Saccharomyces cerevisiae S288C: one gene and its partners. The protein of the gene in region 3 purifies or fractionates together with the protein of the main gene of each other region. This does not show direct contact. Each region holds a gene or a part of one and is shown on either strand. Other genes may lie near its edges.

The links.
Region 1: the proteins of BUD21 (region 3) and ENP1 purify together in Saccharomyces cerevisiae (affinity purification with mass spectrometry; 5 studies listed by BioGRID). This does not show direct contact.
Region 2: the proteins of BUD21 (region 3) and ECM16 purify together in Saccharomyces cerevisiae (affinity purification with mass spectrometry; 6 studies listed by BioGRID). This does not show direct contact.
Region 4: the proteins of BUD21 (region 3) and RRP9 purify together in Saccharomyces cerevisiae (affinity purification with mass spectrometry; 5 studies listed by BioGRID). This does not show direct contact.

What each region holds. Positions count from the first base shown.
Region 1 is NC_001134.8:711,748-717,116, forward strand, and holds ENP1 (snoRNA-binding rRNA-processing protein ENP1), read right to left. Parts: upstream 2,709-5,369; coding exon 1,257-2,708; downstream 1-1,256. Other genes in the region: RRT2 (diphthamide synthase), read left to right, coding at 1-1,007; HIS7 (imidazoleglycerol-phosphate synthase), read right to left, coding at 3,060-4,718; 3-deoxy-7-phosphoheptulonate synthase ARO4, read right to left, coding at 5,135-5,369. UniProt on the Saccharomyces cerevisiae protein: Required for normal export of the pre-40S particles from the nucleus to the cytoplasm.
Region 2 is NC_001145.3:521,281-528,950, reverse strand, and holds ECM16 (ATP-dependent RNA helicase ECM16), read right to left. Parts: upstream 5,256-7,670; coding exon 1,452-5,255; downstream 1-1,451. Other genes in the region: POM152 (Pom152p), read right to left, coding at 1-1,147; SAS2 (histone acetyltransferase), read left to right, coding at 5,606-6,622; DLT1 (Dlt1p), read left to right, coding at 7,162-7,670. UniProt on the Saccharomyces cerevisiae protein: Probable ATP-binding RNA helicase. Required for 18S rRNA synthesis. May play a role in restructuring of the pre-rRNA.
Region 3 is NC_001147.6:469,302-473,869, reverse strand, and holds BUD21 (Bud21p), read right to left. Parts: upstream 1,146-4,568; coding exon 501-1,145; downstream 1-500. Other genes in the region: Mn(2+) transporter ATX2, read left to right, coding at 1-395; RTS2 (Rts2p), read right to left, coding at 1,273-1,971; SKI7 (Ski7p), read left to right, coding at 2,250-4,493. UniProt on the Saccharomyces cerevisiae protein: Functions as part of the small subunit (SSU) processome, first precursor of the small eukaryotic ribosomal subunit that coordinates the first two steps of ribosome biogenesis in transcription of the primary transcript pre-RNA and pre-18S processing.
Region 4 is NC_001148.4:799,996-805,689, reverse strand, and holds RRP9 (ribosomal RNA-processing protein RRP9), read right to left. Parts: upstream 3,332-5,694; coding exon 1,610-3,331; downstream 1-1,609. Other genes in the region: chromatin-binding protein CTF4, read right to left, coding at 3,673-5,694. UniProt on the Saccharomyces cerevisiae protein: Involved in nucleolar processing of pre-18S ribosomal RNA. Required for efficient pre-rRNA cleavage at sites A0, A1 and A2, and biosynthesis of 18S rRNA.

The DNA of each region.
Region 1 (5,369 bases), on a different chromosome or scaffold from region 3:
TGGACCTCAAACTTTTATGTTCGAATAATACGTATGGCGCAATCCTAGATTTGAAGTTATCCCCCTTTGATGATACATTGATATGCACGGCCCATTCGACAGGTAATATCATGCTATGGAGGATACGGTGCACAGATAAGGATGATTTCCAATCAAACGAACTAGATATTCATGCAATTGCAAATCTACAACTCTTTGAAAAAGATGTTCTCATTGCCTCGTGCCATTTTTCCCCACTTGATTGTAAGAAATTACTTGTAACAAATACGGCAGGCGAAGCAGCTACCATTGATATAAGAACACTATCTGTACAGTTCACGGCATCAGCAATCGCGCAGGCTTACTCAAAACTAGATAAAATAGATTACGAAGTTCAAGGTGCAACCGAAAAAGTCATTCATGTTGAATCGGGACAATTTTTGAAACCCCATGAACTCGAGTGTTGGACTGCGGAATTTGGATCTCTACAGCCTTTTCAAGACGTTGTATTTACAGGAGGTGATGATTCGAGAATTATGGCCCACGACTTACGTTCCAAAGAATTCATTTGGAGTAATAATCGTATTCATGATGCTGGTGTTGTTAGCATTAAGTGTAGTCAACCTAACTTTCGAAATAATAAACCCACGTCCATAATAACTGGATCCTATGATGATAACATTCGTTCTCTGGATTTAAGGATGATGGGTGAGTCCATATTTCCTGGTGCAAATGTCCCCACAGTTAATAAATTGGCGTGTGATCTTGGTGGCGGTGTTTGGAGATTTGTTGAATCCCCCATTGATCAGGAACAATCTCACCACAACGGCTCCGATCGGCTTTTAGTTTGTTGCATGTACAATGGTGCCAAGGTGGTGACCATGAATGATAATTCCGATGAGTATTTTCAAATTCAACATTATCTGAAGAAGGGCCATGATTCGATGTGTTACGGTGGCGACTGGTCAAATTCTTTGATCGCAACATGCTCATTTTATGATAATTCCTTGCAAACATGGATAGTTTAGAAAAAAAAATTCAGTCTGCAATATATGGACTAATATATAGGCTAATATATAGGCTAATATATAGGCTAATATATAGGCCATATTTTGATGATTTCGATAGATTATGCATAAAGAATTGATAGGAAGGAACTTGCCTGAACAATAATCTTTTACTCTATATTTTCTACTTATTATACATGATTCAGAAGCTTTGTTGAAAGGGGGAAAGACCGAGCGATATAAAATTGATGAAAAATTGATATTACAGCATCAATTGACATCAATCATTAAATCATCATTAGCTTCCTGTGGATCAACAAACTCCCTGCTGGCTCCTGCCAATAGTTCTCTTCTAATCTCAGGACCGATATCTTTATGGCCTCTTTGACGAACAGTTTCCAACAAGAAATCTCTCTGATCCTGGGTAATATCGTTCTTGTAACGTTGTGCAAATGTTAAGAAAGCCTTGTGCCATATCACTGGGAGTACTCTTGTAGCATCTTCCCCATTACTACCGTCATCCAAAATTCTAAACCTCATAAAGTAATACACGCAGTCGTCCACCGTCTGGTACGGTAAAGCATATTTTTTATCGAGCAATATTTTGATAAAAACAGTTGTAGGTGGAGAGAAAGGTAGCCTTAAAAGATAACTCAAGGCAGCTGAAGAATGTAAAGCCGGAACAGAGACTTTAGCAAGCACACTTCCTGCAATTGTCGCTTCACGTACATTACACCCTGTTTCAACCAATGGGAATAGGAAACCTTTGAAGAAGGCACTTGGTTTATAAAGCGATTTTTTCACCGCACGGTATATATGATAGTTTAAAGAGTGGTCTTCACTGGTCTCGATATTGTCACGGAAACGTTCAAGTAAAATTAGGTTAATAAATTTTTGAGATTCTTTAGCAGTTAGGTTGGATACAAATAATTTCGTTGCTTCGTAAACAACGTGTGGTGACCATTCTTCCGGGTTGGTCACATAAATGACATCTTGCCAATTTCTTAAGGATGGGATAACCTTGAACAACTTTGGCAACTTACCGTGCGTCCAAGTTTTTAAAATACTACCTACCGTAGTATATGCTTTGATGACCTTCTCTGGAAGTGCAACACCCTCTCCACTCTTCAAACCGGATGAAATATTGCCTCTTGAGGTATTCTGTTCATTAGCAAGTGGTTCATCATCTTGCATATCTTCAACTTGACTTTCCTTTTCTCGGATAGAGGCCATAATCTTGTCTGCAAGATTATAGCTACCACTTAAAGAGTTAAAATCATCTGATTTCTTGAAATATTGCTCAAACATCGCTGCGTCTTCTTCATCGATTTCAACTATCTCTTCCTCTTCTTTATAATCACCTTCGGGTTCAAAATCGGAGATGTCTTCTCCAAAAGCTTCTTCGTCTTCGTCTTCGTCTTCGTCTTCATCATCATAGCTCATGGTGGTGAATCTGGCTTCAAATTGCTTGTTTCTTTCTGATTCAGCAAGTTCCTCACCTTCAATTTCATCCTGTTGTTCCTTGGCCAACTGCAAAATTTTTCTTGATGCTTTGGAGTCTATGTATCCATCTTCCTCATTTGCAGCATCGTGATTTGCAGCATCGTTCTGCGCTAGCTTCTTTTTATTGATTTTTTTCAAGGTACCTTGAGCTGCATCTAAATCCTTTAAAAGTGGATCATGCCTCTGTTTTCTGGCTTTAGTAGAGGATGCTCTGGCCATTATAGTTAATCTTTCTAATATATTGTTTTATCTGTAAGTCTTAAAACGAGACAAATCTTGGATTTAAAACAACTTAGTGCATATTTCCTTTCGTCAATGTTGAAGAAGTGGGAGCTCATCGATTTTTAAAAATTTTCATTTCCGATGCCTCGCTAAAAAAAAAAAATGAAAAAGTGGAAAAATATGTTCTATTTCTTCCCCTACTGACACCACCAATAATACAACCATATAAGTTGGTACAATTTCTCCAAGCTGTACATCCTCTTGTGTTGTGAAATGTCTGATTTAACATCTATCATTATTGCGTATATAGACTGAGTCAAGATTATAAAGTATACATATCCAACCACATTACTCTTCATCCATTCTAACCTTTAATCCGTGCTCTAGTAAATACTCCTTTACATCGTTAACAGTGAATTCACCTCTGTGGAACATACCTGCACCCAAGCAAGCATCTGCGCGGGTCTTTAGGAAGGCCTCTTCGAAATGTTCGGGTACACCGGCGCCACTGGATGCAATGACGGGAATCTTGACCGCATCTTTAACATGTTCTATCAATTCCAGATCATAACCAGAATTAGAGCCATCCTTGTCTATGCAGTTCAATAAAATCTCCCCAGCACCTAGAGCTTCACATGCCCTTGTTAATTCCCACACACCAAGGTCTCTAGATTCTCTTCCACCTTTGATTGTACATTGGTACCAGCAGTATTTCTCTCCATTGGGGCCCGGATATTCTGTCTCGAAGACTTTGTTCTTCGTATCTGCTTGTGAATTTACATATACTCTCTTAGGGTCGACAGAAATAACAACTGCCTGAGCACCGTATGCTTTCGAGATTGTCTCTATTGGTGACGTTCCATCTCCTCTGTTACCCAACTCGTAGTATTTTTCGGCTGCATAGACTGCATCCGTACCGATCGATACTTTATCAGCACCAGATCTGAAGTATAGACTTGCAACTTCTAAAGCAGGTATTTTGGTTCCATCAACATCGACAATATCCTTGATCCCCCCACCGACTGTCAATGGAACAAAGACTGTCTTTGCGGCTTGTTTCAGAACCTCTAGCATCGGAGTATCCTTCAAAGGACAATCTCTAAAAGAAGTTATATTCAAAAATGTTACTTCATCCGCACCCTGTTGGTAATATTTCTGTGCCAACTGAACAGGCTTACCAAGGTTTCTAACACCTTTACCATCACTTTTTTCACGTACATCGTATTGATCACCTTTAGTAACCACCAAATCACCTTGGTCATTAGTACGTACATCAAGACAAGCAATAATTCTGCGTGTTAGACCATAATTTGAATAGTCATTCATTAAGAGTTCCTTCTCTTCCGCACTATAGTTTGGAATCGGAGGACTTTGTTGCTTCAAAAAATTCTCAATGACGTTCAAACCAGCTTTACCTGATTTTTCAGGATGGAACTGAGTAGCGAATATATTATTCTTGTTGACTGCCGCAATAAATTCCTCTGAACCGTACTTAGCTTTTGCAATTTTCCAACCGTCATTTTCTAGGTTTTTTTTCTTTTCTGAATTCAGAATGGCAGCAAAAGAATGGACGAAATAGTACCTCTTGTATGGATCCAATCCAAAGAATAGGTTTTCCGAGGGAATGCAAGAATTCCAACCTATTTCTGGTACTGGCTTTTCTGAATCATCGAACCTGGACAACTTAAAATCAATGTAGTTCAGACCCGTACTCTTAGGGCTTTCCACGGAACCGGCAAAGAGCGCTTGTAGCCCGACGCAAATTCCCATTATTGGTTTTCCAGATTCAATGTATTCTCTTATCGGCTTTTCGAATCCTCTATTAAATAAATTGTCGACGAAATGGCCATAATTTCCGACACCAGGCAAAATCAATCTTGACGTGCCTGATATGTTAAAATCCTTTGGTGATTTCACCAGTTGTACTTCGTAACCTAAATGCTCAATTGCATTGGTTAGTGACTGTAGGTTACCACTTTCAACGTCAATCACGTGAACGACCGGCATTCTCTTTTTCTTTACTTGTAAATAATTAAAAAACCTAAACTGGATACTGCTACTTCAATAGCTGCCTCTTTTCTTTTAAAACCTGATTGAGTAGTCGTCGATATCAAAGGAATATCAACTTATGTATGTTTCGATGTCTGACTCTTTTCTCATGAATTTTTCATTTTTTCATGATCACCTAATTAGCCGTGGAGAGAGAGAAAAATAATCCCAAAGCTACGATATGACTCAATTTTTTTTTGCAGAAGAGTAACTGATAGTATAACATCCACGAAATCAGTGAAAGGTCAGCGAGCTTTGCCTTTAAAAATTGAGTTTCTAGTTAATTAGTAAATAGCGCTAAACACAATTAAATAATACCGAATTGGCAGTGGTAGAGGAAAGAATGTACGTTACATATATCATTAAAAAAACATCTATTTCTTGTTAACTTCTCTTCTTTGTCTGACAGCAGCAGCCAATTTCCTCAAGACGTCTTCAGTAGTTTCCCAACCTATACAAGCATCAGTGATGGAAACACCATATTTCAAGCCGGCTTTACCTTCGGCTGGGATGCCTTGGTTACCTTCGTTGATGTTTGATTCAATCATGACACCGGTAATGGCGTTTTCACCGTTAGCGATTTGCTCACAAACAACGTCATTGACCTTT
Region 2 (7,670 bases), on a different chromosome or scaffold from region 3:
TAGATGCAATTGGACAGTAGGGTACAACCAAGTGTGACTGATGGATCTTTAAATTCAGTTTTTTTGAATCAACAATTTTTTTGATTTGATAAAAGCCAATATCTTGAAGAGTTACAGCCAAATAACGAATTGTACTGCCTTCTTCAAAATCGTTTGAATGTGACTTTAGAACTGACTGATCTTTTTTTAAAAAGGATTTGGGGTTATCGATGATTTTGAAGTCTTTCTTACTCAAAGACCGTAACTCTACCGAATTTGTGTAAAGATCTCTATATTCCAACTCGATATATTCAATCTCTTCAGTTGAGTTTATTCTGATGGGTACGTCAATTGAGTTAATTTTAAAAAGATTGGTATCCATGGGCAAACAATATGATTCATGAAGAGGATTAAACATAGCTGTGTTTTCAGGTAGGATCTTGATTGTTAGAGCACCCTTAAAATGAGCGGAAGAATCAAAAATACGATGATGGTTAATGGCTGAACCTGTTACACTTAATTCTTTCGTATAAAGTTTTCTCCATGTGGTCATAATTAATGAAATCAAAACGAACTCGTGATCGCTTGATATGAAAATGTTCAATAGTAGCATAGCTAAAATCTGGAGATAAACAACCCATGGCTTAAAAGTCAACCTAGGAATGTTAAAGGATGGTAAAACATACAGGAAGAAGGAATCTATAATGAAATACTTGGATATGAAATTAAATCGATAGTTCTTAAACAGTAAACCCGAAAGCGGTAACCCCGATTTAAGTATTACCAGGTCATATATTTTATAACATTGAATTATTAAAAACAATATCACCGCAAATGTCCTTTGTTTGGAAATTTCTAAAACATCGGTTGATATTAGAGGCAGTGAATAAATGTCTACCTTTTTATCACCATTAATGTAGCGGTCTTTGCTGTCACGTTCAGATATCCTTGATTTTTCATCGCTTATGTTACTTTCAGTACTTTTAAAGCTCCTCGAGCGTAAAGGTCGGATTTTCTCAGCGGGCTCATCGTCACTATATTGGAAGCGTCGTGTTGTGTTTACATTAGGACGACTGCTATAAGATGGACGTGGTGATCCTGACACAGAACTGCCCATCCAATGGTTCCCTCGTGGAGTATCATTAAACACGTTATATCTGTGCTCCATTATACAAGCCTCCTGATAAACGTATCTGGTATGATAAATCTATAATCCGTTTTGAATTGGTTCGATGAGTTTCCTCTTATTATGTCTTAAGCAATTCTTACTTTTGTTCAATAAAAAAAACGTATAAAGTTATTGACTACGTATATAATGACATAAAATACATAGTGCTATAGAACATAATGTTTTGAATTATGAAGGAAGTTAACATTAAGTGGTTGCAATTATTTGATGCCCTAGATAGGAATAATGTATTCTTCCTATATGTTCTTATATAATGAAACTCTATTTCTATAATACCAGCGCATTATTTTTTTTCTTTCTCTTCACCTGTGATGGTCTGGAAGCCCTTTCTGGTGATAAACTTAATGACTGTCCACTGGCCTTTTTGCTTCTTCTGATGCACTGCTATAGGATTTAAATCCCAACCAATCTTGAGATCGTTGTCAACTGTGGATCCAAATCTAGGAACCACATAACAATACCGTTCCGTAGGTGATAAATTAACGGTCTTCAAGCCTTGACCAGTCAGAGGTTTACTGTATGTCAAAAGAAGTCCCTTTCTTGCTATGTTCGCTAAGGGGGTGCTTGCGATGTCACATAAAGTATTCATCCTTGTTTTATTATTTCCACCAAGGTGCAAGGAATAATAGAGCATGTATTTGGGTGGCATTTCCCCCAAATTATTTAAAATTGAAGTCGGATGGATATAGACAAAGCAGTCCTCGATATTTGGTGTTCTCGTGGCCAAAACAGGAATATAAGGAATGTTGATTATGGAAGTTCTGTTGGTTATCTTAGCATCATCTGGAAATAAAACATCTGCTCTTACGGCAACATGGTCGACAAAACCAGCGCAAATCATTTGTTTTAAAAGTTTTATTTGTATGACGCTTGGAATATCACTTTTCAAGTCTTCATTCCTAATTACTACGGCAATATTTTCTTTTGAAGTGTTGGACTTGATGATATACATTAACTGCTTCCTCAATTTTACTATTTCTTCCATTAGTTTGCCTCTTAAAAAATTTTTCTTCATGAATATTTCTTTTTGTTCCTTTGGAACGTAGTCCATTGCACTTACAACACTTAATAAACGGAATACGTCACTAAATTTGTCTAATTTACTAAACTGACTCCTGCTTTTATAGAATTTACTGCGCAATTCCTTTTTCAGTTCAGGATCCATACCTGGTGTTGATTCATCGTGCTCTCTAATCTTATCATCTAGATTTTCATCTGGATTTGGTTTTCTAGAAATTTCGTTTATTCCCAACTCAAATTCATTGATAAAAGGATCTCCCACCGAAAGGGCACTAACAATTGCTACAATATAAGGAAGGCAGGCTTTTTCGTCAGAAACAAGTAACATTTTGGAAAATCTGGGTGAAAGTGGGAACAGGCTCATTTTTTTACCATCTTCAGTAATCATCTCCTTATTATCAAGAGCACCTAAATATTGCAGTAATTGTATTGCCTTGGAAAGGGCAACTCTATCTGGAGGAGTTGGAAATGGAAAATTAATGATATTATGAATGGCCATGCTCTTCATTTGTAACACGATGCTCTCCACTGGCATTCTTAAGATTTCAGGTTTAGAGAACTGTTCGAAATCATGTTCAAAAACAGCAGACGAATATAAACGGTAACAATGGCCTGGTCCAGTACGACCTGCTCTACCGCTTCTTTGATTGGCACTAGCTTTACTTACCCAGCCCACTTCAAAACTCTGTACGCCATTTGATTCATTATATTTACGCTCTTTAGACCTCCCGGAATCAACAACATATCTAACTCCAGGTATAGTTAACGATGTTTCTGCAACATTTGTTGCAACAATACAAAGCCTAGAACCTTGAGGAGGTTTTTGAAAGACTCTCATTTGTTCCTTGGTTGGTAATAGAGAATACAGTGGAAGGACATATAAAGGATCGTTAGCTGTTTGCCCTTCAGTTAGGACTTCTTCAAACCCTTCTTCCTCTTCGTCTTCCTCATCTTCACCGTTTCCACTGTTACCTTCATCTTCTTCGTATCTTATCGCGCTCTTGAACTTATCTTGATCGATAACTTGTACACTGAAGTCTATATCCTCAGCCTCCAAATCTGTTGTTTTTGAATTGATACCCATTTTAGAAACGGGTGTTTCTAAATCTTTGTTGTACTTGGAGTTTTTCTTAAAAGGAAATTCCTTTCTTAGCCTTTTTACCATGTGTGTAATTTCCTGCTGACCGGTTAAAAACACCAATATAGCGCCAGGAGGAAGTTTCTGGTGAATTTTGCAAGTCTTTCTGAAAGCCTCGTCTGTATAGTTGAATGCAGTTCTACGATTAAAGTGAATAGAGACTGGAAACTGCCTTGCATCAACCTGTAAGACAGGGGGCGCTATGGGGAACAATGTTTTGTTTTCGCTGAAATCTGATACCCTTAATGTAGCTGACATGATGATGAGTTTTAGCTTCTTGTGCTCGATCGGGTTCTCCTTATGTAGTTTAGCTCTTAACCGAACACAACGGCTAAGCATACCGATCAAAATATCAGTGTTAATGTTTCTTTCATGTGCTTCATCTATGATAATGGAGGAATATTTAGTCAACTTGAAATCGTGCATCATTTCTCGTAGCAAGACACCATCTGTCATAAACTTGACCTTTGTGTCCTCCTTTGCGGTAGAGTCAAACCTAATTTGGTATCCTACTTTATGACCATGGTCCCCCAATTCATTAGCTACACGTTCAGCCATGGACACAGCGGCCACTCTTCTTGGTTGAGTGATACCCACCATTCCTGGGTAATCTGGAGAATCTTCGGCACCAAACCCAGCCTCATATAAAAATTGTGGGACTTGTGTAGTCTTACCTGACCCCGTTTCACCACAAATAATCACTACATCATTATGGTGAATAGCCTCCATAATTTTGTGTTCTTCACCAAATACTGGTAGTTGAATTCTTGCTTTCTGAATTTCATCTGATCTGCTAACTTCAACATAGAAGGCTTTACGGGTGGAATTCTCGTTTATTGGAACATAAGCTTCTTGGAGACCATCATCTAAATCTTCCTTTCTAATTATCGGTTTATAATCGATGTTCAAAGTGGGAGTAACTAGCTCTTGATCTCTACCTTCCAATTTTTTTATTTCTTGATTGGCCCAATCCTTGAATTCGTTAGCAACATCATTTTGGTCAAATTTTTCTGAGCCAGTTTCACTATCTGCGCTTTCAACTTCTTCGAGTGGGTTTTCACTAGGATGCATTTTGTCTTCTTCTTCCTGATCCTCCTCTTCGTCATCATCTTCAGATGTCGTGTCGAAATCCATTTCATCTTCTTTCCCATGCTTCTTCAATTCTTCCATTTCTACTCGTTGTCTCCAATTATATTTCTTCTTCGGAGTTTTGCTTTCTTTGTTTATGACTTTTATATTGCTAAACCCAAAGCTAAGACCAGATCCACCAAATTTTGCTGGTCTATGATCAATAAAACCTGATGATTTCTTCTCCTCATTGTCCGTTGGTTTCGGCATACTACCAAATGAAGCCTCGAAATCATCTTCGCCGTCATCATCCTCAGAGCTCCCTCCTTCACCATACTCATCCCAAACTTTTGGTTCATATTCTTCGTATAATATTTCATTTGTTTGTTCATTTCCTCTTCCTTGACGTTCTAAACTCAGTGCTTCTTTGAATTCTTCCTTTTTAGTCTGCCTGCCCTCTCCTAACCTTTTAGAGCTTGTCAACAAACTTGTATCTATCTTATAATCTTGAAGTTTACCAATAATTGTCTTTCTTTCCTCTCTTTTTAATTGATGTTCAATAAATTTATCCAGTCTTTTCTTCTTCAATCTCGAAACTTTCGATTCCTTTGGGGTAAATAACTCCTGTAGTTTTCTTTTCTTCATTTTCTTTTCTTCTTCAGTGAGAGGTTCAAGAATTTCCGCATTGGCATTTGGCTCCGTAGTAGAACTCTCAGCGGGAGCTGAATCTGGGTTTTCTACTCTTTCATCGTTTTCATCCTGTCTAGTGAACTGCTTATTCCTAATTCTTTTCAGTTCTTTTAATTTGGCCATATGGCCGGATCTGGCTTTTTCATTAAACCTTTTTCTGTAAGTACCCATACTTATATTTCTTAAGACACTCTATTATTAGTATTGGGTTGTAATTGCATTTTTATAGCATATAGCACTTGCTATTAACAATAATATACTAATACTATAATGAGCTTTCAATACTCAGCTCATCGCCAATGAAAATTTTCGGAACACCCAATCATCATGATATGTTAGGCGCGTAAATATGAAGAATAACAGAATCGTTAATCAGAAGAGATGATGAAATCATTAAGTCTTGTCCATATCGAACTGGATAGAGTATGTAGCGCTCTAAGAATCTGTTAAATTGAAGTTTGATTTTTTGATATTGGAGGCTCCTATTTTCTAGTTGCTTTTTGTTTTCACTCGCAAAAAAAATGGCAAGATCTTTAAGTCAATCACTCACAGCGACTACCCAGAAGCTAAAAGGAAAGAAGAATGGTGGAAAAGGCAAGAATAAGCCCTCAGCAAAAATTAAAAAAACTCAAAAAGAGATGCTATATGGAATACTGAACGAAAGGAACATAAGACAGATTCAGTTTGGACTGAATAAAAAATTCTCTACTTGGTATGGGAGCGCCGTTTATTTCGATCCTGAAACAAAAAGGCTAGGGTGCTCCGAGACCAAGGGTCAGCTTTCCTCTGTTTCTAACAGCCAATACTGGCTAGACACTCTTTTCGTTTGTGAATACTGCTTCAAATACACGGATGATCAGACGCGGTTTGTAGGACATGTTGCAAGTTGTCCATTTCAATATCGTGTTCCAGGCAAAATAAAATACAAGAGTCCTGAATATACAATAAGAAGAGTAAAAGGATCCAAGTATCAACTCTTTTGCCAATGTCTTTGTCTTTTCACTAAGCTATATCTGGACAATAAATCCATGTATTTCAAAGTAGATCATTATGAATTTTACATAGTTTATGAAACTGGATCAACAAAGCCGATGGGATTCTTTTCGAAAGATTTAGTGTCATATCAGCAAAATAATCTAGCGTGCATCTTGATATTTCCCCCATATCAACGACGTGGATTAGGCCTTTTACTTATCGAGTTTTCATACAAACTATCCCAATTAGAAGGTGTAATATCAGGGCCAGAAGTACCGTTATCACCTTTTGGACTAATCGGGTACTTGAAATATTGGTCACAGATACTCTGTTGGCACCTTATTGAAGGTGACCTCGCCCATTATGATAAAGTGACCCTGGAGGATCTTTCCATCGTGACTGGAATGAGAGTCAATGATGTTATTTTGACCTTGAAGCACTTGAACTGTATTGGGGAGAATAACCAAATTTACTTGCAGTCATTGAATAGCTGGTTGAAACTACATGGAACAAAACGGAATTGGTTCAAATTAAAAGATGAATATTTGCTGATAGATGACTAGGAATCTATTCAGGATGTAACTTAATGGCATATGTATTTCAGGATAGAATATCGCTCGATGAATTCCTGTACAGACAACTACAAACGGACGAATTTTGTCTGACCAAGTTAAGAACAGAGAACTAATGCATAAAATTTGTTTTGCTGCAAAAGTTTCCCTTTTTTTAGAGTATAAATATCTTTTATAGCAAAAGACTTAAAACAGGTTCACGTTTTTATTAGCCGTTTTTGGGCCGGTTTTTCGATGACGAACAAGGACCAAACAAATACAGCATCAAAACAAATTCTAGAATAAGAAGGCAGAAAGGGTAAGGGCATAAAGGAAACCTTCTTTTGTGGTGATGTTGAACTGGGTTTAGCCAAAATTACAACACATATTAAAGTTTTGTTATTTTGCGATAAAGTTATTGCTCTTGAGCATCAAAGAAAGTGGGAGGTTAAACAGAGGAAAACACATTGAAATTTATTCAAAAAAAGATACCGCTATACAACTTTGGCCTGATACTATCTATAGACACGAGTGTCCATACTTAGCAGTAGATGTCCGGATTCGCAAAACTCAAGTCGTGGTTATACAAAGCTTCCCTTTTCGTTTCTTTGATACTTTTGATTGGGTTTTCAGTTGTTTTACCCATAGATTCCATTGCACAAGCTTCTAAATCAGAAAACAATGCCTTTAATACGTTCATTGTTGTAGGCGCTTTAGTTGTCTTTGGCGTTTTTTGTATCTTTATTATTATTGGAAGAATGCTATTTCATAAGAGTTGTTTAAAAGATATACCAAGAAGATATATTCCGATCACACCTGCTGATCTCCCGCATCGTTCTAGTAGGGAAGCAGTACTGCAGAACATGGAAAGATCTAAAGAATTAACAATTCTTCTCAAAAAACCTAAAGACCCTGTTATTCACGACGGACTTGAGCCCCCGAGGAGATGTGACTACCCATTAGATGAAAAGTTATTTCCAGAATACCTAAACTATGCTGATTGTATAAAAAGTTTAACAGATAGACTGAAATACCATGGATTGTTTCTGAACAATTTAGA
Region 3 (4,568 bases):
CACTGCTCATAGTGGTGTTAATTGCTATAGTTATTCATAAAATTCCTGCCGTTCTTTCCCTCACTAGTTTGATGGTATCGAGACAAAACTTAATGAAATGGGAGGTGATCTGTAACGTTTTCTTGTTTGCGTCATCGACTCCGATCGGATACATAGTGTTATCCCTTTTGAATCTGAGTCATTCGCCAACGATGGATTGGATAAGTGGAAATCTTCTGCTTATGAGTGGTGGCAGTTTACTATATGCGTCTTTCACAGCATTTGTTGGTGGAGATTCTCATGATCACGATCTCAGCGTTGAACAGGAAGTCGTTTTACCTCATGATGAATCCGTTTATGTTTTGATAGGTGTCTGCATACCGTTGGTGATATCGTACTGCATCTCTGAAGAATAACCTACCAAACTTCAGTATATATTCTCATTGTTTGATTATAGATAAATGAACATTATGATTAATTTTGTGATTGTACTATTATTTTATTATGTTGTATGCTATATATTACCCTTTATTCAAAGCCTTTCTATTTAGCCAACGGTCTTTTGAACGTATGATGGATGATTCTTTCTTTGGTGGTAATGTTTTAGAATCTTGTGTGGTGGATAACAATTGAACTCTAAATTTTCCTCTTTTCACCGAATCTTTCCTTAAATTTTTTAATGTCTTCCTTTTCTTAGTTTTTATAGCTTTAGCCAATGCCTCTTCATTTTCATCTGACTCATCCAATTTATCGAAAGTTACATGTCTTGAAGATGAGTACTGCGTACTACCTTCGTCCTTCTGATCTATATTTTTTAGCAATTCCTCAGGAAGCTCCGCAATTACTTCATCAGTGACCTCTGTCTCATTCACTGATTTCTTTTGCTTGGCGTATAATTCATTTTGCTTCCTTCTCTTGGACCGCAATTGTGATTGTTCCAGCCTTATAGCCTCCTCCCTCTGAGTGATCTGTGATTCTACCTCACTTTTCCCAGAGTGAAGCCCTTCTTCTTGTGGAGCATCATCATCATCACTTTCCTCATCACTACTTGAATGCACTTCCTTGTCCTTTTTTGATATTACCAGCACATCATCTTGTCTATCCGTGACAGCACTTGCGCTGGCTTGACTTTCATCGGCATCAAACTTGACGTGTCCATTACTCATTGTCTTACTTAATACGTGTATACGGGTAGTAACAGTTCAGGGTATCAATTCGTACTGCCTTCTAAACATATTTGGGCTTGTTCGAACAACTTCGCTAACCTCATCGCTTGAAAAGAAAAATTTTCAATCAACGGAACTTGATACCATCTTTCCGTGGAGGAACCTTCTTTTTCTTTTTATTTACCCGACCATTCCCGTGGAAGGTGACTTGAACACGTTTCAGAGTGCTATCCCCGCTAATTTCCGATTTCATCTCTGGTTGATATACCTTTTCAGTTTGTCGCTTAGCACGATTGAGTTGTCTTTTCAAAAGCTCGGCGGCTATGACTTCTTGCTCCTCTTGTTGACTTCGCAGCATTCCATCTTCAGAAGGTGATGATAAAGATGAGGGATGGATCCTGATAAGCAAAGGACCTTCAACGTTCTCAGATGTATCATCAATATCCATATCCACGTCTACCTTGCCCGCGCGGCCTAGGTACCGGACAAACTGCGTCAAAGAACGATGCATGGTGGCATTCATATGTACATGATCGCGATCTTGAACATACTCGTTGTATACTTTGTTAGCATCAATCCATTTTTCTCCGTGCCGCTGCTTCAATAACTGTAGAAATCCCTTTTCAAACTGGATATTGTAGCGCCTAGCGTCCTCAGCTGTCACTTGACTAATCTTCCTTAAATGAGATGGCGATTTGTTATGTGATTGAAATCCGTTTGCATCTTTACATTGCCTTTGGCATATTTGGCAGTAGTAACGGGTTTTCTGTAACCCACGACGAGCTCCCTGCTTGGACCAATATTTCGCACTATCATAATCTGCCATCGCTGTGATTTTCTACAATCAAACAACCCTGTGTTTTCGCTCTTTTTAGGACTTGTCAAGAAAAGAATGATGATACTGACTTTTCCATTTGATATTAATTTCAACTAGCGGAGTTTTTCCAGTTTTCAAAGTACAGGACAAAGTGTTGTGTAACCCGGACCAGATTTACATTGGTGTACTATAATATGTACTATAACAGATTGGAGGTATAAACCTAGAGACCCTTCTACAATACACGTACGAGGAGGTGGTCTTCGAAACTTACAGTACCACCTGACATGTCGTTATTAGAGCAATTAGCAAGAAAAAGAATAGAAAAATCTAAAGGCCTTTTAAGTGCGGACCAGTCTCATAGTACATCGAAAAGTGCATCCTTACTAGAAAGACTACATAAGAATAGAGAAACTAAAGATAACAATGCTGAGACAAAAAGGAAGGATCTGAAGACGCTACTTGCAAAAGACAAGGTAAAAAGAAGCGACTTTACCCCGAACCAGCATAGTGTTTCATTGAGTTTAAAGTTGTCTGCCTTAAAGAAGTCAAATAGTGATTTGGAGAAACAAGGAAAATCAGTGACATTAGACAGCAAAGAAAACGAACTCCCTACCAAAAGGAAATCGCCTGATGATAAACTCAACTTAGAAGAGTCATGGAAGGCTATTAAAGAAATGAACCATTACTGTTTCTTGAAAAACGATCCATGCATAAATCAAACCGACGATTTTGCGTTCACAAACTTTATCATAAAAGATAAAAAAAACTCGTTGAGTACATCAATACCGCTATCGTCGCAGAATTCATCATTTCTGTCCTTAAAAAAGCATAACAATGAGCTCCTTGGTATTTTTGTGCCTTGTAACCTGCCGAAAACAACTCGTAAAGTAGCCATTGAGAATTTCAATAGACCAAGTCCTGATGATATAATACAATCGGCCCAACTTAATGCTTTCAATGAAAAATTAGAAAACTTAAATATCAAATCTGTGCCCAAGGCCGAAAAAAAGGAACCAATTAACCTTCAAACACCACCTACTGAGTCGATTGATATTCATTCATTCATTGCCACCCATCCTCTGAATTTGACATGTTTGTTCCTCGGTGATACAAACGCAGGCAAATCCACTTTGCTTGGTCATCTTTTATATGATCTAAACGAAATTTCTATGTCATCAATGAGGGAACTACAAAAAAAAAGCAGTAATTTGGATCCTTCATCTTCAAATAGTTTTAAGGTCATTCTAGACAATACCAAAACAGAAAGAGAAAATGGATTTTCCATGTTTAAGAAAGTTATTCAGGTAGAAAATGATTTACTACCGCCATCATCAACCTTGACGCTTATAGACACTCCTGGTAGTATCAAATACTTCAATAAAGAAACTCTGAACTCAATTTTGACCTTTGATCCTGAAGTTTATGTATTGGTTATTGATTGCAATTATGACTCGTGGGAAAAATCATTAGATGGTCCAAATAATCAGATTTATGAAATTTTAAAAGTGATCTCTTATTTGAACAAGAATTCCGCATGCAAAAAGCACTTGATAATTCTTTTGAATAAGGCAGATCTAATTAGTTGGGATAAGCACCGACTAGAAATGATTCAGTCTGAGCTAAATTATGTGTTGAAGGAAAACTTTCAGTGGACAGACGCAGAATTCCAATTTATCCCGTGTTCGGGTTTATTAGGTTCGAATTTGAATAAAACTGAAAACATCACAAAATCTAAGTATAAGTCAGAATTTGACTCTATAAATTATGTTCCCGAATGGTATGAAGGTCCGACATTTTTTTCGCAACTATATCTATTGGTAGAGCATAATATGAACAAAATAGAAACAACTTTGGAAGAGCCATTTGTAGGCACAATACTGCAATCTTCTGTTCTTCAACCGATAGCGGAGATAAATTACGTGTCACTCAAAGTCTTGATCAACAGCGGATATATTCAATCAGGCCAGACAATTGAAATTCATACACAATATGAAGATTTTCATTACTATGGTATAGTTTCAAGAATGAAGAATTCAAAACAAATACTGGAGACTAACACAAAAAATAATATATCAGTCGGTTTGAACCCTGACATTTTAGAGGTTCTTGTTAAGATTCATAATACCGAAGACTTCACGAAAAAGCAATTTCACATTCGTAAGGGTGATATAATAATTCACTCTAGAAAGACGAATACACTATCACCGAATTTACCAAACACACTAAAGTTGTTAGCCTTGCGTTTAATAAAATTATCAATACAAACGCACGCGCTAAGTGATCCCGTTGACTTGGGTTCTGAATTGCTTCTTTACCATAATTTGACGCACAACGCGGTAAAATTGGTGAAGATTCTCGGGACTAACGACATCTCAATTAATCCAAATCAGTCACTTATTGTCGAAGTCGAAATTATAGAACCAGACTTTGCTCTTAATGTGATTGATTCCAAATACATTACCAACAATATTGTTTTAACATCAATAGATCATAAGGTTATCGCAGTTGGCAGAATTGCATGCCAGTAATCCTACAACTAAGAAATTATACTAGGCATTCATACTTATTGTTTAATATATAAAATGAATAGTAATAAGTTGATG
Region 4 (5,694 bases), on a different chromosome or scaffold from region 3:
ATGAATACAAAGAGAAGGTACATGAAATGCAAAAGTTGATTGGTCTAGCTTCATATGTTGGATATAAATTTAGATTTGACTTACTATACTACATCAACACACTTGCTCAACATATACTATTCCCCTCTAGGCAAGTTTTAGACATGACATATGAGTTAATACAATTCATGTGGGACACTAGAGATAAACAACTGATATGGCACAAAAACAAACCTACCGAGCCAGATAATAAACTAGTCGCAATAAGCGATGCTTCATATGGTAACCAACCATATTACAAGTCACAAATTGGTAACATTTTCCTACTCAACGGAAAAGTGATTGGAGGAAAGTCGACAAAGGCTTCGTTAACATGCACTTCAACTACAGAAGCAGAAATACACGCAGTCAGTGAAGCTATTCCGCTATTGAATAACCTCAGTCACCTTGTGCAAGAACTTAACAAGAAACCAATTATTAAAGGCTTACTTACTGATAGTAGATCAACGATCAGTATAATTAAGTCTACAAATGAAGAGAAATTTAGAAACAGATTTTTTGGCACAAAGGCAATGAGACTTAGAGATGAAGTATCAGGTAATAATCTATACGTATACTACATCGAGACCAAGAAGAACATTGCTGATGTGATGACAAAACCTCTTCCGATAAAAACATTTAAACTATTAACTAACAAATGGATTCATTAGATCTATTACATTATGGGTGGTATGTTGGAATAGAAATCAACTATCATCTACTAACTAGTATTTACATTACTAGTATATTATCATATACGGTGTTAGAAGATGACGCAAATGATGAGAAATAGTCATCTAAATTAGTGGAAGCTGAAACGCAAGGATTGATAATGTAATAGGATCAATGAATATAAACATATAAAATGATGATAATAATATTTATAGAATTGTGTAGAATTGCAGATTCCCTTTTATGGATTCCTAAATCCTTGAGGAGAACTTCTAGTATATTCTGTATACCTAATATTATAGCCTTTATCAACAATGGAATCCCAACAATTATCTCAACATTCACCCATTTCTCATAATTCGATAATTGTTGGGATTCCATTGTTGGTAAAGGCTATCATATTATGTATACAGATATACTAGAAGTTCTCTCGAGAATATAAGAATCAAAATGGAATCGGTATTTCTACATAATAATATTTCGATTATTTATCCTTCCGTTCATACTACTAAATAGATAACATGTTAGAGTTTCATTCTAACAATGTTCGATTTTGTTATTTTTAAACAGTCCTGGCGCGTTTTAGGTTCAAACTATTCGCATATCAGGGAGTCATAATTCTTCATTCTATTTCCGATTCCATTGAAGAATAAATAATAATATTGGTCTTCTTGTCCATAATCATTCCCCTCCCCCCGCATCTAACATGCTTTGTGAAGAATGCCATTGCAGATACGTGACAATGAAAACTTTTTTAATGTACCAAAAAGACTAAAATACATGTACTATTTTTTTTTTAGATATTTTACAAAAGATACATTTCATTCTATATGCTTATTTCTATATACTTGGGAGCCGGAGCCGCTTTGCGTTCTGAGAGAGTGAAAAGGGCATGGAAAATTACGGCAATATCAGCAATCTAAAAGCCTGTTTGGTCAATGACAGCTGAATATATACCATTTCTGGCACCTGAAACATTTGCAATCCATCTACCGAGTCTGTGTTCTTTGGCAATACTAGCCAAAATACGGAACTTCTCCTTCCCATGTTTACCACTTTCTACAACCTGAATCTTGGTAACTACACCTTTAGCGCCAGATAATTCACCTAGCAACTCAAATGATCTGAGATTATCACTAATTTTCCAAACTTTTAGCGATCCACTCCATGATCCAGATATGAATACATTCGAATATGGAATAGCGTAAAGAGATGTGATCCAAAATGGTTGTAGCAATTTCTTGCCTTGCAACTGTCTTTTTCTTAATTCTTCATCGGTTTCCCCCGAAATGTCATTGAAAGAGGGCTCAGGTAAAATACCATGGGCAATTCTTTCCGTGAAGATAGGTTTCTTCTTCGCCAGAGACCATAGACATATATTACCATTATCGGAGCCTGTTATAAAGTGAAAATCATCCACCATACTCACAACGTCAATACTACCCTCGCAGAAAAATAAAGGTGCCTCTGATTCATCAGGATATTTGACTTCTCCATCTTCTCCCTCCTTAGCGTTTTCTTTCATCCATCTCCTTAGTAGCTTTTGAGGTTCATCGCCACCTCTAAATGTTAGTCTGGTCTCGTCAGGAATCTTCCAAAGCATAGCTGTTCTATCACGGGCACCAACGGTAACACACCTTTCCATCGCCAACGCAGATATATCTTCCACTATATCATGATGCCCATAAAGAATCTCCAACTGGGAAAATTGATTTATTGAATATGTTCTTATCTTAAAATCTGCGCAGGATGCATATAACTGATCAGAATTTTTTCTAAAAGCCAACGATAAAACTTCCCCTCGGCGATCCTTTGTTGGAATAACTTTAACGGGTGATAGAGATTCTGTGCTCCATACAATTAACTTCCTATCTCTTCCACCTGTGACAACATATTTACCATCTGGTGAGGCTGCTACAGTTAAGATTTCGTCATAATGGCCTTCTGTGGTATTCTCATATTCGTGCTTGCTCGTAGGTATATATTTTGCTCCTCCTTTAGCGTATTTTAGCTTCTTTGGTCTTTTGCTAAAGTCAGTAATGTCATATTTGGTGAGTTGTAAGTCTTTGCTAACTGTATAGGCAAATAACCTACCTTTGTTCTTATCGCCATTAGATGATTCCTCGAAGGTGTATTTGTTTAAAACGGGTTGGAAACAACTAATGCAAGTAAGGTTATTTTCCCCTACCCTGGTAAAGCTCTGTTTTGCTTCAGATATTAGAAGTTTATCGCCAAAATATCTGAAGACTCGGCCTTGCTGTTCAGCAACGTCTTCTTTTAACCTGGACGCAATGATATCCTTATCCAAATCTCCAGCATCAAAATTGTTGTACTCGTCGATTGTTCTTTCCTTGAGATTGTTTAAATCTTTTTCTTCAGCGTTCCTATTATCAGTTAAAATGTCATTAGCTTCGCTTTTCAGATTCTCCAGATATTGCTTTGCAAGCCTCCTTCTTTTATCGGCTGGATTTTCACCCTCGAATTCTTCTTCAGATTCCAATGCGTCTTCTTCATCCGAAACTTCTAGTTGTTCATCTTCGTTTGAGGATGGATCTGTGATTTCTTCGTCTACTGTGGGTTTTGATGGATTAACTTCTCCTTTGGATCTTTTCCTCTTTTTCTGTTGGGTAACATCTGACATCTTTTCTAGATTTTCTATAATTTTGAAATGCTAAAGAAGAAATAAAGAACTTTGAATTGATGCTTATTTGAATATTTACGGTACAGGACCAGGTGTTACACTGTTTAATCAAAGCTCATCTATAAAATGTCATCTCTTTTTTTTTTTTTCATATTTTTTCACTTTTTCCTTTCGCGAAAATTCGCAAGGACGCTTCCAGCTCAGATCATGTTCAACGTAACTCTTTATTATCGTCGCATTCAAAGAAATATATGTTAATGTGGGAGCATTTTGAACGATGATTTGAACAAATGAACAGGTATCAAATAATTGTCTCTTGCGTATATATATTTTACATTTTTTTATTTCAATTGCTGTTCATATCTAGCTTCCCTTATATTATTAATTTTTTTAACGAGAGAGGGCAGCTCAGCTCTTTCTGATATCTTAACGGCTGCAGTAAGTGCTCTATCTTGTTTTAATTCATGAGCAAGCGAAAGAGCCTTTTCAACATTTTGGTCTGAGCATGCAGACGCAAATAAACGTAACAAAGCCTTATCATATGCACCGTTCAATGCTGCCAATACCTCATTTTCGTTGCCGTACATTTCACCGTCATTTTCGAGTGTATCTGTCAACAGCTCTGACAAAACCTTGCTGCGCAGATACTCTTCTTCCGCCGCCATAGAAACAGGAATCTGTATTTCTTTGTCTTCTTCCCCTTCTTCCGCTTCGGTGTCAGCTCCAATTTCGTTCTTTTTATTTAATATAGCTTTGTTTTCCTCTAGTAATTTACTCTTAACAAATACTGGCATTCTAATCTCCATTTCGGATGGCAACGGAAGGGGAAACTCGGGCCATATATGCTTGCCCTTAACTAAGATACAATTCAATGTGTCATACGCCAAAGCCAAGGGCCAGACATGTATATCTGTCGTTTCCTTCCCTCCTGACATCTTCCATATTTCCATGTTGCTATCTAGAATAGGGAGCCATTTACTTTCTTCTGGTGATCTCCACTTTGATAACAATAGAAGCGTGTTGTCGGACCCAAAAATGCATGGATCTCCGTAGCTTGAAAAGAACAAACTTTTGATGCCCATCGGATTAAAATTGTAGTAGTCAAGATTTGCGTCTTTTTTCATATCAGAATTAATGTTTGGTAAACTCATTGGAAGTGGACACTCTCTTTTATAGTACCTTTTACTAGAAGTACCCAATTCAGATAAAGAGTATGAAAGGCCATGAAACTGCGAATAATGTACTGAAAAAACCCTATAATTCTGAGCAGTAAGCGCTACAATTGGGGATGTCTTTTCAACAGCAAATGGAACCCCGAATTGATTGAAACTTCTGAAATAGCCTAATGATGTACCAACAATAACGCGAACCGGGGTGGCTGCCACACTTGTTATTCTCTCACCAGCTTGCAAAGGAATAATCTTGGTCCAGTTTGAATGTATGCTATCGTGTGGCCTATATTGTATCTGCCCAGTTTTGGATTGGCCAAATAAAGTGCCTTTTTCATTTAGGAAGCATAAATCGTAGCCAAATAAGTCCTCGAAATGGTATTCTCTAAAACGTCCAACATCAAAAAAAGAGACAGTTATGCTGTATTGCTCACTATTCTTGACAGTAGATACGTAGCCCACTTCATTCATTGTCAAATAACGCCTGTCAGTAAAGCCAAAAGGTGTTCCCGCTGGAGAAAAAGGCATATAACGAAATTTTCCTGTGTTTGCCAAACTGATTGGAAACGAATGAGTCTTGTGTACTCTCGAATAAGAATGTTCATTATGTGGTTTTTTGCCACTAATATAACCAGCACCATCGTCATCATCAATAAAGTCTTCTTCATCTTCGAAGTTGTATTTTCTCTTTTCACTTAATCCACTGGGGCCGTCGTGTGTTTGAGTGAACACATCTTCCGCATTCGCTTCTTGAGTAATATCTGAAAATAGCTTATCGCTTTTGTTTATATCATCATTTCCCTCTAAGTTTTCCAAGTCAGATTCGGAGTCTACAAAAAGCCCATGTTTAGTTGAAGATTCAGCAACAGATTGGTCAGGTATATTAGATACTACGGACTCTGCCAAATTTTGGACAATGGCTATACTACCGGACCAGGTACCTAAAACAAGGTCTAGAGTTTTTGAGTCCGCTTGGATTTTCCAGGCAATATTAGTAATTTTTCTTTTGAATTCCCTGGTGTAGTGGATCTCGGAAGTTTCCCAATTCCATACCGTTAACTTATTATTTAAATCTACTGCCGCAATGTAAGTTCCACGTAACGGGTCAAATTGCAAATCAATGAAATGAGCCTTTGTTGATGAGAGATTTGTGGACAACGTCTTTTGTAGGGAATATCCCTTTATAGAGAATAT